Linked DNA regions of Yarrowia lipolytica. The protein of the gene in region 2 interacts with the protein of the main gene of each other region in a pairwise test. Links are inferred from orthologs where the notes say so. Each region holds a gene or a part of one and is shown on either strand. Other genes may lie near its edges. The genes, in order: YALI1_F12874g, YALI1_E11341g and YALI1_C07117g.

Region 1 (1,965 bases), on a different chromosome or scaffold from region 2:
GTGGTGGTTTGTGCCACGTGACAGATATGGCCCGTATACGTTGTCTTCGTACGGTGCGTGTACTCGTACTTGTACCATCAGCGATACAACTCCTCCATGGCAATGCACATTGAGTTGTCTCCATATTTGCTGTTGTCTTTTGGGAGTGTGGAAAAAACTGGAAAAACTTGGGCGAAAATGCTGAAAAACAGGTACGTCGGGTCTCCAAGCTCATGGAACTCACCAAAACCACCGCCTGATCCTCAGGATACCCACTTGCCACACCCTCTTTCGTGTGTTTCCATCCAAAAAAGGGCACGTGCAAACAGAGTTTTGGAATGTTGTGGAAGTGCCCCTTTTTGACCCTTTTTGACCCTTGTTGACCGGGACCCAGGAGACCCAAAAACCAGCCTAAAAACAGCAGCGGTAGGGGTAAAGGTGCGGCAAAAGACGGGATCCAGAGCCGCAATCGAGAGAGGGTTCGGTCACGTGACTCAGTTGACGTTTCACGGGTCCCATTGATGTCCAATTGGTCTCCTCGTCTCGTCCAGTATAAGCTCAGATCACGTACGGCGACCCACCGGGACAGGAGGACCAGCCGTGACTTTTCACCCCCACGAGTACCCTAACCCTGAAAATTTTACAGGTCCACTAAAGTTGAGGGCTTGTACTTTTCCTCTTCTTTTTTCTTTCCACATCATCCACAAAAATGTCTAACACTGAGCAGACCTTTATTGCCATCAAGGTGAGTAAGAAGCGAGGGTGAAGGAGTCGACGGCAGGGATTTGTTGTGTGTCAATTGCTGAATTGATCCGATTGAAGTGTCTTGAGATTGATGTCGTGTCAGCGAGATGGACAGATCAACACACCTCCGACACATGACCATGGCGCCAACAATGGTCGACCGCCAAGCTCCCCCAAACAACCACTAACCCAGCCCGACGGTGTCCAGCGAGGACTCATCTCTCCTATCCTCCACCGATTCGAGCAGCGAGGTTTCAAGCTTGTCGCCATCAAGCTGACCAACCCCGACGAGAAGCTCCTCCGAGAGCACTACGAGGACCTCCAGGAGAAGCCCTTCTTCCCCTCTCTGCTCAAGTACATGCAGTCTGGCCCCGTTCTTGCCACCGTCTGGGAGGGTAAGGATGTTGTCAAGCAGGGCCGAAACATCCTCGGTGCTACCAACCCCCTCCAGTCCGCCCCCGGTACCATCCGATTCGACTACGCCATCGACATTGGCCGAAACGTCTGCCATGGTTCCGACTCTGTTGAGTCTGCCAAGAAGGAGATCGGCATCTGGTTCAAGCCCGAGGAGCTCGCCTCTTACACCCCTGCCAACATTGGCTGGATCTACGAGTAAGCTATTTGTATAGTTTAATATCTTGTATGTGTCGCAGTGAAGAGTGTACTTGTTGCGGACTATTGTCTAGTAGTTTTCTTGTAGCCGTCATGGAAGGAGCCATCTCCATTGGACACGTGTAACCTTGATGGTCGCCTGTCATTTCACGTGTTGATCCACATTGGATGATTAAGCAACCCAGAGCTGATCGAGTTCCATATTAGACATTTTCAACCACGAGCGTACAATGTTCGTGCAGGAGGAATTTTCGCCAGCATGTTTCTTGCTTGTGTTGGGCCATATGTTCTTTCTGCTCACTTTGTTTACCTTTGTTACAAATTAGTTGAGAAAAATATTCGGCTGGGGGTTCATTTTGCACATTCCAGAAATGCCAGAGTTTTGGAAAGTGGTTCGATTGATAGGTAAAGAGCGACTTCTAAACAAGTTTTCATAATTGACAGTATTGTTTATTGCTAAAAGTTCAGGATACTTGTTTGAAACTTTTGTTGAGATTGTATTGCATACTTTAAAATATATATATATATATTATATACTGTAAAACAAAAAAAAGTATATACTGTACTTGTACTTACTGTATGTACTGTACATACTTGTGGGTAGGCAGAGCTGCTGATTTTGTAAGTATC
Region 2 (2,733 bases):
CTCTAGAGTATTATCAGTACTATGTAGACGTTTTATAACTCTCTCAAAACAATACATTTTTGACCAACCCCAAGCTCCAGTAGTTCTTGATACGCCTCCTAATCTCAACTACTTTTTAACTAAATTGTATTTCATAATCAACTAATAGTTGGGTGTTTTCCACTCATCAACCAGCACAAGTACAACAGGATACTGTCCATCAAATGCGGTATTTGTTTGTGTTACAGAGTACATACGGTAGTTGTAGTGAATATCGCGTGCCAGAGCACAAATATACAGGTAGACCATCTGAAACTATTACACACACTGCCACTGGTAAAACACTCAACCTCCAATCAGTGTATCCTAACACCTAACAATACATAACCTATCTAACTATATACACTCCCCTTTTGCGAATTCACAGAACTCGATTGCGAAGATAGCCAGTCACAGACATAGCTCTTCTGTCTAGCACTCCAAAAGCACTCCAATATGGACACACTCCTCCGTCCACTCCCCCATGGCACAGGCGACCCACGTCATCGCCACCAACGGCAGCTTAGGAGAATTTCCACCTCGTACCACAGTTCTCGCACGTGCAAAACGTGGTCAACGGCTCATCTGCAGATCTCGTCTGCATCTGGTAGTAACTGACCTTCTTCTGCTTGCACTTGCCGCATGTGAATCGGTCCGTCACGGCTCTCTGTTCCGTGGCTCCTCGAGCAGCAAACAGGTTCTGCTTCTCCATCTCCTCAATCTCCTTCTTGAGCTCGTCGGACGCCATTTCCTGGGGCGACATTCGGCACAGTCGTTCGGCCGAAATTTTGCCCGAAATGACGTTGCCTCGCAGACCGGGGTTCTTTGGGTCCTTGAGGTTGATGTACAGAGATCGCATCTTGGGGCGGTAGTTGCCGCCGGTGCCGTTCTCCATCTTGTACACCTCATTCTCAATGGCCTTGGCGCAGGCGAGCACCTCATTGGGGTGCGCAGTCATGCCGACAGCCAGCGCAGTGTAGGTTACATCGATGCACCGGTTTCGCACCTTGTCCGAGTAGATTTCTGTAGACACACCGTCCTTGGCCGGGGTTCGTTGGCCCGAAGGAGGCGTATACGAAGTGGCGTTACCAGAAGACGCAGAGCTGGACTTGACCGGTCGGCTCTCCTCCTTGGTCTCCTTCTTGCCCTCTACCTTCTTGGACGCGTCTCTCTTCTGGGCCGTCACCGTGTCCTTCCACGACTTGATCATCTTCTTGACCAGGTCCGAGATCCGGCTGTCGCTGGAGGTTCGCAGCTTGTTGACGGCAATACCCAGCTTGGTCTCTCGCAGCAGCTTCTCCGTAGGCTCCACCTCCTTGTGCAACACCTGCAGAATGTCGTATACCGCCTCGCCGCTGGCCTTTTCCAGGTCAGCCATCAGCTTTTTGATTTCCGCAACACTGAGTCCCATGATGGTAGTGATGTGATGATGACTTTACAGAGATGATGTCTCGACCGAGTGCTGAATTGTTCGCGTGAGACTGCTTCCAATGTGAAACTTTATTTTTGCCCGAGACGAAATTTTGGCACAGCAATATGCACGGTGATATTACTATGGTGGAGGTGGTTGGAGGTGGTTGGAGATTGGGCCAGAGACGTATATATCCGGCATTTTCAGGTTAAGAGCCTGTTTGTGGATTGTAAGGGCGTGCGGTGGGTACGACGACCCCATAATTACCCTGGGTAGCTCTCAGCATGCGCAGACTTCACACTTGCTACTGGACGCCCTATCTTGTAGGACTACCGGTACTTGGGTACATCGGCGTAATCAATTTAAACGGACTTAACCTACAGTACAGGTTATGAGCGAACTCAGGTGAGACTTGTAGATCTTTGGCGCAGATAAGTTGTTGATCACTGTCAGGAGAGTCCTGGGCGTATTGACGACGGCCTAATGAGCAAAGGAGTGTGTGTCACGTGAGCAAATGAGTCTGACGACAAGCTTCGAAAGTTATCTTGTCGATATATCTCCGGGTGCTGCTGTTGCGTTGCACAGTCTAAACCGGCAACGCATGTCAACTGAGCTTCAAGTCGACAGACAAACGTTTCCAAAAAACCAACAAAAAAACGTCTCCAAAAAACCAAAGAAAAACGTTTCTAAAAAACCAACAACAAAAAACATCATCTGAGCGAGTTCTGATTCGAAATTTGACCGCACTACTCCACCTTTAAGTACTCAGTGTATCCTCAAGCGTTGCCATGTCCTTCGGAAGCCATGTACTTTGCCATCCCAACTAAATTACTTACGAGTACTTAGTACAAGTACAGTTCAGTACTGTACAGTACATACTGCAGTCGTCCTCGCACTGTCTCAAGTAAACATCATATCATGGATAAGGGAAAATATAAAATACTCAACTTCGAGTGCAGAGTTCTGATACTTCAACAACACAATTAAACAGTCCCAAATTGCCAAATAAATCAACCAAAACACTTATTTCCATACCAACACACACATTATTCGCCCTTATATAACTCCCCCACCCATGCTGCCAGCACTCGAAACAAGGTTCCTTGTTAGCAACAACAACGTCACATTAGAATCCTCATTTTTGATAAAATTACTCTGAAAATTTGATATAAACACTCCAGAACTATCTTCAACCACACAGAAGCCACTTGACTTCGAATCATCAGCTTCTCTCCTCTTCTTCTCTTCTTCTCCAAGTTCCACTTGCTCCAAACTTTCATCACAACAAAGTTCCAATCTGCATA
Region 3 (1,845 bases), on a different chromosome or scaffold from region 2:
CTGACTCAGTTGGGTCTTAGTTTGTGAGTACACGGTATGGGCGCGGGTAGGGGGCAAGTCGGAGCAGTGACTGGAGATTGAGGGCTTGAGCGACAACATTGTGTGGGATTGGCGATACAGCGGCGCTTGGGTGTCTTTTTGTGACGACAGTGGCTGTTAGGGGACCCTCAGATACAGGTACTCTGTCTACGTGATGATACGGCATCCACACACGTTGCGCATCACACTGTTGGCACTACATTTCAGAGGTGTTTTAGAAGCACTTGACTGAATGCTTCTAAAGGCTGCTGTTCACAATCCCTTAAATCATAGCTCAATCGGGCCAGCTGGACTTGCTACCTCTTCAATACTAACTCAGACAAGATGTGAGTACTGTACGGACAATGACAGCGATGGTTGCCACTGATACGATAGCCCAACATAATTGATATGCTGAAGACATCAGTGGAAATGGCAATCACGAGAGACTGTGTCGGAGCACCTATCGAGACTGTGCCGGAGCACTCAGCGATACCAGCAATATGATGAGCACCAACGGAACAACAATGAACCGGAACAAGACAACAGAAACGAGAAAACAGATACCACAGATGGGCTGCAGAGAATCGAACCTTGTCTCCAGCAAAGTCCTCTATTCCTGCTGGTTCAATGGGATCGTTCTCACGATCTGTCTTGTTTCACATCGTTGGTAGTTTTCTGGCGTGCTATCTCCTCTGGCGTGCTATCCCCTCTGGCGTGCTATCCCCTCTGGCGTGCTATTGATTCAGACGTACTATTCAGCCTGGCAATGACTGTTGCTCATTCTGATGTGCTTCGCTCATGGCCTCCTCGCCATGGATACTGCCCTTCATCGATTGTTGTCGTCCCAACCTTTGGCAACCCAGTTCCATTACTAACGCAGATTCTCCTCTCATTCTATCTTATCATTTTTGGTTACTCAATTGCATCTCTCGAGTTTGCCACCCCCCCAGTGGCACATAAGTACGGCTCGTTCCTCTTCTCATTCGTGGGGCGAGGTATTCTGTACATTCTGATTGCCGCCATTCTCATGTCTGGTGGCTTCTTCCGATACCTCATTTCGTTCATTATTTTCGGAATCGGCGCTCTCTTTGTGGTGCTGGAGTTCATTCCTTCCATCGAACCTCCTGAGAACATGCGAAACGAGCCCTTAGACTACATGGAGGAGGTGTAGAGCACTAAGTGACATACATATGTGATAATAGATGATGAAAAGTGGCTCTCTTCCTTCCATGGACCCTGTCTACCCAAATTTAGGAGGGATATTATTAATTTAATGGTCCAACATTCGTATATATTGACATCTTCTAAATAAGGTTTTGAAATACCTTCATTCGACTGTTGCTACAAACATATATAATCTAAATAAATCAAACCCCATCCGTTTAATAATTGGCACCATTTTTGTCGCCCCATTAAGGCGGCCATTTTGATACCAAAAACTTGCCCATTTCTTCAAAAAACCCAACAGTTACCCTACTGCAGCATATATGCACACCACCAAGATATTCCATCTCGATATTGTCATGAGCTCTAATACAAAAATACACAACCATGTCGCTGGTCAAGAAGCCGAAAACCGAACTGTCGACGCATGTTGCGTCAGATCACGTGACAGAAACGTCGATCCAGCTGATTGGACACTCGTGCCCGGTTCTGGCGTGTGATTTGAGTGCAGACAAGGAGGTTCTTTCAGGCGATCTGGAGGGACTGGTAAAGCTGTGGAAGCTGTCACGTGATGACACGGTTGAGCAGTACGAGGTTGGAAAGCACAAGGGAGCAGTTTTGGGCGCGATTTTCCTCAAGCATCGTATGGTTACCTGTTCT

The links.
Region 1: the proteins of YALI1_E11341g (region 2) and YALI1_F12874g interact in a two-hybrid assay, tested with the Schizosaccharomyces pombe proteins (2 studies listed by BioGRID, with this or other methods). The link is inferred for Yarrowia lipolytica from reciprocal best matches to the Schizosaccharomyces pombe genes tfs1 and ndk1.
Region 3: the proteins of YALI1_E11341g (region 2) and YALI1_C07117g interact in a two-hybrid assay, tested with the Schizosaccharomyces pombe proteins (2 studies listed by BioGRID, with this or other methods). The link is inferred for Yarrowia lipolytica from reciprocal best matches to the Schizosaccharomyces pombe genes tfs1 and tvp15.

Annotation. Positions count from the first base shown.
Region 1 is NC_090775.1:1,286,591-1,288,555, forward strand, and holds YALI1_F12874g (uncharacterized protein), read left to right. Parts: upstream 1-814; coding exon 815-1,339; downstream 1,340-1,965. Other genes in the region: YALI1_F12871g (uncharacterized protein), read right to left, coding at 1-604, 651-680. UniProt on the Schizosaccharomyces pombe protein: Major role in the synthesis of nucleoside triphosphates other than ATP. The ATP gamma phosphate is transferred to the NDP beta phosphate via a ping-pong mechanism, using a phosphorylated active-site intermediate.
Region 2 is NC_090774.1:1,132,770-1,135,502, reverse strand, and holds YALI1_E11341g (uncharacterized protein), read right to left. Parts: upstream 1,430-2,733; coding exon 542-1,429; downstream 1-541. Other genes in the region: YALI1_E11351g (uncharacterized protein), read left to right, coding at 407-441. UniProt on the Schizosaccharomyces pombe protein: Necessary for efficient RNA polymerase II transcription elongation past template-encoded arresting sites.
Region 3 is NC_090772.1:710,657-712,501, reverse strand, and holds YALI1_C07117g (uncharacterized protein), read left to right. Parts: upstream 1-787; coding exon 788-1,192; downstream 1,193-1,845. Other genes in the region: YALI1_C07109g (uncharacterized protein), read left to right, coding at 1,573-1,845. UniProt on the Schizosaccharomyces pombe protein: Golgi membrane protein involved in vesicular trafficking.